3 linked regions of the Bombyx mori genome follow. The protein of the gene in region 3 purifies or fractionates together with the protein of the main gene of each other region. This does not show direct contact. Links are inferred from orthologs where the notes say so. Each region holds a gene or a part of one and is shown on either strand. Other genes may lie near its edges.

Region 1 (4,252 bases), on a different chromosome or scaffold from region 3:
GAAAATTGGACGCATTGATCCGTCGCTTTTCTTCCGCAGAAAAAGGTAGTTTTTTTTTTTTTTTTTTTTTTTTTTTTGTTGTTTTTTTTTTTTTTTTTACGGTATTTGGTAACCATACATGGTTTACAAATTATTACAATTTTGGTGGCACTCAGTGCCTCAGTGCCGTCGGTGTCTTCAATTGCCCCCCTCTGGATTGTGCCAGATGTTACGGACTATGATTGTTTATAATGTTTGGCTTACCTTTTGTACGAGATCGTGACAAATAGGATTGTAGCCCTCCGAGGGACTGAATAGATTTCAATTTACTATTATCAAACAAAAATTCCTCAATGAGTGGCGCGTTGGCAACAGGATACTTTGTTAGAGACCACGGAAATTAAACTTTGACGTCTTATTTCTATACATACGGCCCTTTTTTCCGTATACAATTTAAAACGCTTTTTACGGGTAACTTGTACGACGGAGACGATTTGTCAAAGTTTTCAGTAATTATGTTACAAAGATTATTAGTTTAAATCTGTTGTGTTTTTGTCAAAATTTCCGTATTGACGAGATCAATTTGTTTACAACAATTTTCGTTACATTCAATTGTTACACACAGTTGATGCATTATTAGATTTACAACGTCACTGACCTGGTGGGATAACGAGCCGATTCGAAGATCGACCGTTACCTTTGAATCCCGTCGTTTCTTACGCAGAGACTCCTTTTGTTCTTTTTCGCTTGACGAGCTGTTCGAACGCGAGGCGTCTCCATCGCGTCTCGCCTGGACATCTTCCCTCTCGGAAATTATGGAGCTTGACTCAACATCACCTCCAACAGATGACGCGTGATTCATGGCGTCCGATGATAGGATTGGTAAATAATACTCGTAATGATTGCAAAATAACACTCATAGAAACACAAAATAAATATTTTTTGCAATTAATAAGAAGTCGAATAAATATTTGTGGACTTGCGACTTCACAGTACGAAAGTACACAACGCTATGAAGATCAAAGATGGCTGCGCTCCCTTTATACTTGCTGGCAGCACCTAGCGGCTAAAGATGGAACTAAATTGACTGTCTATGGTTGGACATAGACAAGGAATCTAAGCTAAGTACACACTGCTTCTTCATAATACAATGCTGTATGTTTTCCAAAGGCACATCAATGATTAATTAGCTATCATTATTACACATTTATACTTGAGGAAACACCAGTTCTGCGTTCGCGTCCGAAATTTGTCCTAGGGCAAGCATAGGATTTTAGTGATGATTACGTATCAGGAAATTCACTATAGCATCATTAGCCAAAAGTCGAGTAACCAACGTCCGTATAAAAAAATAACAGACGCCATTTCACGGAAACTGACTTAGATTTTATGTTGATGCCAACGCTAATTATACTAATAACGCTGAAGCGCCTTTATTACTATCTCAAGAAATAGTTACTGTATTACATATTTCCGTAAATAAGATGGGGGAAGATAAAGGTAAGTAGTTCACATATCTATCTTGTAAAGTTTTGAAGTGAGGTTATAAAATAAAATGCTCACAAATATTACAGACCGCCGACGAAGGTCTCGATCCCGAGAAAGAAAACGTTCTAGATCTCGATCTAGAGAACGAAGAGAAAAAAGAAAAAGCAGATCAAGATCGCCCAATAAACGTTCACGTAGACGTAAGCCTTCGCTTTACTGGGATGTACCGCCGCCGGGATTCGAGCATATCACGCCATTACAATACAAGGCGATGCAAGCGGCGGGTCAGATTCCTGCCAATATTGTCGCCGACACACCACAAGCTGCCGTGCCGGTGGTGGGTTCGACTATAACACGTCAAGCGCGAAGGTTATATGTCGGCAACATACCCTTTGGCGTCACCGAAGAAGAAACAATGGAGTTTTTCAATCAACAAATGCATCTATCGGGCCTGGCCCAGGCCGCCGGCAACCCTGTTTTGGCTTGCCAGATTAATTTAGATAAAAATTTTGCATTCCTTGAATTCAGATCAATTGATGAAACGACACAGGCAATGGCTTTTGACGGTATTAATTTTAAAGGGCAAAGCTTAAAGATTCGACGTCCACATGACTACCAGCCTATGCCAGGCACTGAAAACCCAGCAATAAATGTGCCTGGTAAGTAATTATGATATTGTGATATTGTTATTACAAACAACTTTTCTTATAAAAATACATTTAAACTACATTAGAAGATACTATAGATTTATCTATCAAGTAATGAGTCTTGAACTCGATTGAAAGTGCTATTTTTTATTAAGAAAATGCAATATTTAAAATAAACTGAATTTTGTTGTTATAATTCTACAGCTCTTTTTAAACTCTTGAAACAGCATTAATTACAACTAAAATACTCATTACTAGTGTCTTCATTCAAATATTATTTTGTTACAGCTGGTGTTATTAGCACTGTTGTACCTGATTCCCCACACAAGATCTTTATAGGGGGATTGCCTAATTATCTAAATGAGGACCAAGTAAGTTCCTTGTTTTATCTATTAAAATTTATAGTTGAAATTAAGCATTCAAGAAACCATAATTTAATCACATCATGATCAAAATCAAGTTTGGAGTTTTTTAAAGCTACACATGGTTTTTGGATTAAAGTAGAGGTACTTATTTTCTGTATTTTTGATGTGATCAAATTAAGCTATTATTTATAAGTACTACTTACCAAAAAGTTTTTATTTTTAAACCAAATGAAAACTCAATTCACATAAATTATGGTTGATTTATGTTTCCCACTAAAAGAAACCTTTTGATAATAAAAAAATGGTTATATTATACAACATTCTTCTCTCATTGTGATTTGTAGAGTTGTGTGTTACAGGTTTTGACCAGACAAAATGGAAATAATAATTATGTTGGTTATGATAAACATAGAATTCTCTTAGATCGACAAATTCAAGTATTTTGGACTATAATAGTTATTTCAAAATCCTACTTTAGGTAATGTTAGGACATTAAAAGAACCATGAGTTTGTTCGTTCCCAGTAGGTAGTTATAGCGTACTAGATGCCGCAACAATTTCAGGCCGAGATTCAACAGTTGACAGGACTTAGGCCCCGGTGACGCCAGCAGTGAGCCGCGTTATGTTTTGGTCCGTTTCAGGTATTTTCAGGTACCCGTAGCGTGGACGAGCGTGTGCGTACCACGCTCGGATGTTCTCAAACAACTCACTGATATAGTTTGCTTTCTGCCCTCCCTAGCTTAGATTTGGCACATTCGCGGCCCGCGTGTCACTGTTGTCTCTCATTCTCATCTATACGTCTTGTACTTGAACGAGACATCGGCACTTCAAGGCAAGTCTCTTCCATTCACATCTGATTCTAACATGCGGCTAGACACAGGTCAGATAGCATAATTCACTTATGTAATTTGCTGCATTTTGATGAACAGATTTAATGGGAACACAACAATTCAAACATACAATACAAAAAACATTAGCATTAGAAATGTCTATGCTGATCATTATGAATATGTAACGTAAATTAATACAATGCTGGGAATTAAAAGATTATTATTTGCTCACTAATTTTGTCATGAAACAGGTAAAGGAATTACTCATGTCATTTGGTCAACTCCGGGCCTTCAATTTGGTGAAAGACTCTTCAACTGGGTTGAGCAAAGGCTATGCTTTTGCTGAATATGTCGACATTTCTATGACAGATCAGGTAAATAATCATTATGTCACCCAATTTATTAATTTATTGGCTTTTGCATAGTTAAGGCCAATTTAATTTTTAAAAAAACTTTAAATCATAAATTAATTTTATTTTCACAGGCTATTGCAGGTTTAAATGGAATGCAACTTGGAGATAAAAAGTTGATTGTGCAACGTGCCAGTATAGGCGCAAAGAATTCAACTTTAGGTAAATTTTAATACAGAATATGACCTATGTTTTAGTTTTAGAATAGAAATTATAAAAGATTTTAAATAGAAATGGGATACTTTTCAGCACTGACCGGTGCAGCTCCAGTGCAAATCCAAGTGGCAGGTTTGACCTTGGCTGGAGCAGGTCCACCTACTGAAGTATTGTGCCTTCTTAACATGGTAACACCTGATGAATTGCGTGATGAAGAGGAGTATGAAGATATCCTTGAAGATATAAAGTAAGTAACATTTTGTACATGTCACACACACAAGCACTAATACATGAAATGCACACTTAAACTTCATCTAAAAATGTTCAAAATCAGAACAAGAATATAAAATTAAATCTTCATATTGGTACCTCAGTTCC
Region 2 (4,348 bases), on a different chromosome or scaffold from region 3:
AGGGCATTATTATAAATAAGTTACCTATACTGGCATTGCAAAACATTGGAACCACCACATTTTCCAAATTTTTCTTGAGATCTTCTGCGTTTTTGCGTGCACTGTAATTAGGAATAATAGTATCATAGACACCGAATTGACAATAAAAAAGGGACACAATACTTTATTAAAATATGTTTATGTTTTGCTTAATAGCATAGTACAAAAAAAAATACATTATCATTTAGTATTTGTTTTAATTATTACTAGATATATTTTATATCCTATTCAATATCCCACAAATAATGACAAATACACTTTACAATATTTAAACATAATCGTTTATTAAGCACAACCAATCAATAATTACCCAAACCATTCTAAATGTACACTTTAAATATCAAATTTGTTTTTGGTACTAACCAATGATGGAGTACATCATTTACAAGGTAAATGATGTGTAGTTTCTGAGTAAAAGCAGCACCAGTTTGAGTGACTTTTCTAAGCAGGTGTTGAGATATGACTTTGCCAGCATCATGGGATGTAGCATGTTGAAGTATCCAACCCTTTCCTAATGTTACATGTAAAAATAAAATACAGATTCAAAAATACAAAAAATAAAACTGTTTGTTCCCACAGTAGCAGTTAGCAGTATTTCGAGTATTTCTTGAGTTTGGGAACATGATGTTTGGTCAGTCTGAATAGACAAAAAAAAATTGCAAAATATTAGCTAAGATTTAAAAACGAAAATAATATAATTGTATATGGATTGATTAAATATTACATACAATATTCAAGAATGTAGAGTATACAGTTGAGTCATAAGTTATTCAGTTGAATTTAAAAAGTACCTGAAGAAATACTGTCCTTAGTGCAACTGTCTATTATTGGCTGTAGGATATTGTCAAGTTCACTAAGATTGATGTTGTTCTCATCAGCCATTATCTGTAAAGACTCCATCTGTGCCTTGCTGACAAGCTCATTGATCTTCACTTGCTGCTGTTGTATCAAAACCTAGAATGCATATTATTTAATTCATAGGAACTTATTGGGGTGTTTCATATGAAATATTGGAAAATAAACAATGTGTACAAATCTCAAAACTTAGTTTGAATTTCTAAATTCCAATAGTTACTGCATATATACGATCTATATAAATAATTAACTTATTTGTTTTCTTTAAACAAAATATCCAAATAGTGTCTCAATAAAATATATCAAGTTATTTCAGTGTACATTTCTTATTGCCTTAAATAGGTGAATGAACTGGCATTAAATGGTAACCATAATATAATAATATATCCTACCAGCCACCTTGATACATGAGGTAATAGCTATCACATCATTAAAACCAGAAACTCTTGCAGCAGAAATTAGTAGAAAGAGTATGGCTAATAATGACTAATAAAAATAATACTACTGGTAATTTTATGTTTATAATACAATGTTATTCCTTGACCATAGAGGTACTGTGTGAACATGTGGTATTTTTTGAAAAATGGTTTGATCCCAGCACAATCATCTCATTCAATATGAATGCACTTGGGCGTATTATCCATAAGGCTATGATAGCTTATTATGTTAATACCCCGCTTTTAATGTAGGTAATGCAAAAACAAAAATCTAATCTATGCCCAACTACTTTTGCATGAGTAGGTACTGTAGTCATAATAATAGTATACATAATAATGTAGTCTTAATAAATTCAATTTATAAACTACAATGCAAAAAAAAATGGTATCAAAAACAATAATCTTTAGTAACAAAATATGTTTTCCTTCTAGACCTCTATTTTACAGGTGGGAAGACTTGTTTGGCTTGATGTAAACTTACTTAATCAAACAGAAACACTATCATTACATCACACCACCAAGCAATTAAGATCATACGCATGTTTTTACTAATTTACTGTACATACTTACAGCATGTTGAGCATTTAGATTATTTTCTGACTGAGTAATCTGTTCTTTCAGCACATTGATCTGTGTTGTGATGCTGTCGATTTCTTGTGGGTGCTGAGGAAGGGGAGGCGGGGCAGAGTTGACTGCAAGCCACTGCTGAAGTACAGGTGCCGCCGCCATCGAGGCCGCTAGACCCAGCTGAGCAGGCGTCGCGCTGGCCTGTTGGGGCATTACATATTGCCTGTTCTGTGCCATATAGGCCCCGGCGGGAGCGGATGCCGCCTGCCCACCGGCCGTTTGCTTTAGAACTATAAACAGCGGAGGTTCACTTAGATTGGTTAAAACAAAACGTATCAGCTATCATTGATTATGGTGGATAGCTTCTGTCATCAGTTTTGTTATGCTTACTTGCTTGTTCTGTCGTCACTTTGTATTGATAGTAGTTGAAGTACTCGCCGCCATACAGGAAACTAAATTTTGGGTTATTTTTTTGTTTGTTCTTGGTCATCTTCTCAAATTCCGGTCCATTTCTTGCGACGAATTGCGCTAATTTGTCGATTATGTTGCGGAGATCTTGATCTGAAAATATATATTTTATAGTAATTAATGTTTATTTATAACTGGATTTACTTGAATGCAAATATATTGTTATGTGTGTGCGGTACCTTGCGGTGGCTGTGGCAGTTCCATTTTTATCGTTTACGAGGTTATTGCTTGATGTAGCTTAGTGTCTTAAACTAATAGACTATTATTACTTTAACGACATTTTAATGTCATTTTACCAGAAAATAACGATCTAAAAGAGATGTTATCACTATTTTAATTCTTTATGCGATTTATATATTGCTGTATATGATTAAAACACATCGGCCATTTGTAAATTGTTGGCTTTAATATTTTATTACTAGACTCAAATACTAGGTGTATAATCTATGCTTACAACTGTCAGTATATATAATCTTACTCTATGCTGTCAGTGTTTCATAAATATTATGTGTCGTGTCTATGGTCACTATTGAACTCCTAGCGCATTGACGATCTTGTATGTGTACGGTAATAATGTTATGGTTATATTTTTACAAAATATTTGGTTTATACCTACAAAATTGCTGTTTAACATATAGAAAATTATAATTTATATTTTTATTATTTTGTTTTTATTTTTATCAAACAAATTCACCCATGTCAATATACGGGAGTGAATAAACTATTCAAAGGCATTTTGTACTCATCTCATTGTCATCTCGGGAATTGATATTTTTTCCAAACCTTGGTAAAAATAGATGTCTGTAGGCGCAAGGTCTGGTGAGTATGATGGATGATGCACAACTTCTAACTCCAGTTCTTGTAGCTTAGACACTATTTGTTGTGCTGTATGAAGTCGAGCGTTGTCGTGTAGGAGCAACGCGGTCGTGCAGTTAACTAAGGCTGGCAAGAGATTCCCGAGTTTCTTCATCTTTGTGTCCAGTTCACATCCGCAGTAATTCCGGTGCCATTTGGTAAGAAGCTATGTTGAATTATACCAGTAATACACCACCATATAGTGACCATGAATTTGTTTGCATCATTAATGTTGGGATCAGTTTGTGCGACATTGCTACCGCGACGGAACTAGTGTTCCGTAGTTTTATGTATTTTTAGTCGCGTCCATATTGATTAAAAACATACCAAAATATAATGAAAGCAAAACACTATTAAATAGACAAATGACTGATTTTGAAAATAGACTTCCATATTTTTTTAATTAAATTCATTTGTATTTAAAATTGATTGCCACACAATTGGGCAGTGTTCGACAATTCAAATGGGCAGTGTTTGATGATTTAAATGAGCAGTGTTTGCAAAAGATAAGTTATAAGGTAAGGACCTATTAAATTGTAAACGATGTAAGGTGACAAAAGCCACGTATTAGTGTACACTCTACGATAGCCACGCCAGTGAAGAACTCCCCCGAGTTAGTATTATTGTTAAAGGTGGAGAGTAGTTAAAGTGGTTTTTTCACTTGTTACCGCAGAGATTAAATTATCTCTGCGATTACAAGTGAAAAAACAAAAAAGTGAATAAAACGACCCCATTATGATTTTTTCAACAGTAAATAATTTACACTATCTACAGTCCGCGCGCGAGCTCCGAGGATTTTTTTAAAGGAATGTTGACGTAATGAGCTAGTGTTGTAATTAGTCGATATTGCGCTATCGATACTAACACATCTTAAGCCTCCGTGCGAGTGTAAATTATAAAATATGAGGGTATTATGTACTTGAAATAAAAAAAAAACAATTGATCACGTATGAATTTAATTTAATGTACTGATACTTATTGAACAAAATGAACGTGAAATCTTGTTAATTACTCTCGCAATCAGATTAATCAGTAGTTGAAGAATTTGATGTACTCTCCTCTTGATGTCACTCTCCTCACGTACTTCAATAATAAATGATTCGACAACATCCTCCATTAAGCCATCC
Region 3 (2,727 bases):
GCACCGCGTAGGGCACTGGTGACCTACATGGTAGTCAAAGGGTTAAAATATAGCGCATTGTTCGCAATACTCACGAGTACGCATCATCCTCAGTGACTCGTCTCTGTTCGGGCGACTCTCTAGCACTCGCCTCCCGCACCTCGCGCAGCGCCTGGAATCGTGTAGGAATACCATATATTAATACGTGAAGGAAAAACTTTGTACCCCTTTTTACGAGAATTTCGCGGACGCAGGAGTATGAAATTTTCCACACTTATAGAGAATATAGAGAAGAAGTGCACAATGCTAATATTTTTTTAAATTATACCTCTAAAATATTATACATTAAATCAATAAAAAAAAGCATTATACACACTACCATGTATTTGACGCACACAAGCATGCATACTATTTATTTACTGTCAAACTTTTGTTCTTGACGTCTGTGGTCAAATTGAGAATAGATTACATATTGTTTGTCATTATTAATATTTTTCTATAGTGTAGTCTTGGCTCCAAACCTCGCATGAGACAGAACTCATGAAGAGGCAAAGGGGGAAAATGAAGCGTTTAGTGTGGAGCACATATCTCCCATCACCCTCCCCCACTGCGGGACCACTAGTACTTAATAAAAGCGCTTTTCGTTATAAATTGAAGATCGTGTGAGTAGTGTAGTGTAGTGTAGGGTACCTTCTTGATGAGTTTCCGTCGGTAGTGCTGTATCTGCTGCGCGGGCGCGAGGCCGGGGCGCGGCGCGCGGGCTCCGCCCTCCAGCTCGTCGGCGTACTTCAGCACGCGCACCTCGATCTCGCGCAGCGTCTCGCGCTTCAGCGTCTGCTCCTCCGACCTGCCCCCCGACCCCTCAACGAACTTAGTTTCGTAAAGTTATCGCGGTCAAAATCTGATAACCTTTCTACAAGTTGTGTGATATTTTATGCTTATTAAGAAATCACTTTATATGTACTTTCTTTGGAATCGTTTCACTCCGTACAACGTAATGTAGGTACATCTATGTACTGCTCCATATTTATACATATAAATAAAATTGGAGTGCCTGTTTATAATACTGAAATAACCGCTTTTCACTACATTCATATGAATATATATACGGTACATACGCCAAAATGACATTTTTTACAATTTTTGTCTGTCTGTCGGTCTGTCTGTTTGTTCCGGCTAATCTCTGGGACAGCTGGACCGATTTTGATGAGACTTTTACTGATAGGTAGCTGACGATATAAGGAGTAGCTTAGGCTGCTTTTTTAGGCTAGCTTCGCCCCACGGCGTCACCCGCGGTACAACAATAACTGCGGGGATCGGAGGGATCGGGGGAGGGAGGGGGGGGGGGAGAGAGAGAGAGAGAGAGAGAGAGAGAGAGAGAGAGAGAGAGAGAGGGAGAGAGAGAGAGAGAGAGAAAGTATTCTTTATTGTACACCAAAAAACAAATAAACAGTGCAATACATTAAAAACAAAAAAGTACAATTGGCGGTCTTATCGCTAAGAGCGATCTCTTCCAGACAACCATCAGGTGGACAAGAATCATTTGGAAACGAACTACGCGCGGTGTACCATTCCAGTGAAATACATATACATATATGTAATGTTTCCGAAGCGAAGGGAGGATATTTAATACTATATTGTATCTATATCTTGGAATATAAGCGAATAGTGCGTACGTGTCGGGTGCGGGCGCGGGCGCGGGGGGCGGGGCGGCGCGCTCGTCCAGTGCGGGCGGGGGCGGGGTGTGCGGCGCGGCGGGCTCCACGCTCTCCCAGCGGGACGGCACGAACCCGCCCTGCCCCGCGCCCTCCTCGCTGTCCGGCTCCAGCGGCACGCCGTCAATATCTTCATCCACTGCGAACAATACAAATCAAAAATAATATTTTTTTATTTATTGCTTAGATGGGTGGACGAGCTCACAGCCCACCTGGTGTTAAGTGGTTACTGGAGCCCATAGACATCTACAACGTAAATGCGTCACCCACATTGAGATATAAATTCTAAGATCTCAGTATAGTTACAACGGCTGCCCCGCCCTTCAAACCGAAACGCATTACTGCTTCACGGCAGAAATAGGCAGGGCGGTGATACCTACCCGCGAGGACCCACAAGAGGTCCTAACACCGGTAATAGTTTCTAAAATGAACGTGCGCAAACACCACGTCGAGTTAATGTGGGCGCGTGTACATACCGGGCACGCCGTCGATGTCCGGCGGCGGCAGCGCGGGCGCGTGCGGCTCCCGGCCGGCGGCGAGGCGGCGCAGGGCGGCGCCGTCCAGCGGGCCCCGGGCGCCGCCCTCCCACGACGAGGAGGACGCGTCGGAGCGCGGGGACACCGCCTCCTCCACCGCGCCGGCGCCGCCCGCACCCGCCTCGGTCGAGGGACGACGCTCCTGTACAACCACAACTCATTACCATGTATGAACATTACAATAGTGTCTGTATATGAACGAACAAGAACCAAGTTTTTTTTTTAATTTATCCATTCTTTTATAATAAAAATAAGCTCGTGTTTAAATATGGAATAGAATTTATTAATAAAATTTGACTAATTTAATAATTTAAAAATTAGTATAATAATATGTAAAGTTTTTATGAGATAAAATATTAGCATTATTATTTTATTTTATTTTTTTTACAGATATTAGACTTTTAAGTATCTTTTCATATTGTAAATAAAGATAATAATATACTTTTCTGGCAAAGCATATTTTTGAACAGTAGGCGAAATCGTTTGAGATTGAACGG

The links.
Region 1: the proteins of U2 snRNP-associated SURP motif-containing protein (region 3) and U2 small nuclear ribonucleoprotein auxiliary factor 2 purify together in Homo sapiens (affinity purification with mass spectrometry; 3 studies listed by BioGRID and IntAct, counting the BioPlex papers as one, with this or other methods). This does not show direct contact. The link is inferred for Bombyx mori from reciprocal best matches to the Homo sapiens genes U2SURP and U2AF2.
Region 2: the proteins of U2 snRNP-associated SURP motif-containing protein (region 3) and calcium homeostasis endoplasmic reticulum protein purify together in Homo sapiens (affinity purification with mass spectrometry; 4 studies listed by BioGRID and IntAct, with this or other methods). This does not show direct contact. The link is inferred for Bombyx mori from reciprocal best matches to the Homo sapiens genes U2SURP and CHERP.

What each region holds. Positions count from the first base shown.
Region 1 is NC_085123.1:10,727,633-10,731,884, forward strand, and holds the start of U2 small nuclear ribonucleoprotein auxiliary factor 2, read left to right. Parts: upstream 1-1,338; 5' UTR 1,339-1,463; coding exon 1,464-1,479; intron 1,480-1,553; coding exon 1,554-2,126; intron 2,127-2,402; coding exon 2,403-2,485; intron 2,486-3,559; coding exon 3,560-3,682; intron 3,683-3,792; coding exon 3,793-3,880; intron 3,881-3,967; coding exon 3,968-4,121; intron 4,122-4,252. UniProt on the Homo sapiens protein: Plays a role in pre-mRNA splicing and 3'-end processing. By recruiting PRPF19 and the PRP19C/Prp19 complex/NTC/Nineteen complex to the RNA polymerase II C-terminal domain (CTD), and thereby pre-mRNA, may couple transcription to splicing.
Region 2 is NC_085128.1:5,793,399-5,797,746, reverse strand, and holds the start of calcium homeostasis endoplasmic reticulum protein, read right to left. Parts: upstream 2,872-4,348; 5' UTR 2,571-2,871; coding exon 2,546-2,570; intron 2,460-2,545; coding exon 2,289-2,459; intron 2,189-2,288; coding exon 1,902-2,188; intron 994-1,901; coding exon 831-993; intron 551-830; coding exon 403-550; intron 102-402; coding exon 25-101; intron 1-24. UniProt on the Homo sapiens protein: Involved in calcium homeostasis, growth and proliferation.
Region 3 is NC_085111.1:15,849,653-15,852,379, forward strand, and holds part of U2 snRNP-associated SURP motif-containing protein, read right to left. Parts: intron 2,373-2,727; coding exon 2,171-2,372; intron 1,834-2,170; coding exon 1,656-1,833; intron 827-1,655; coding exon 670-826; intron 152-669; coding exon 75-151; intron 1-74.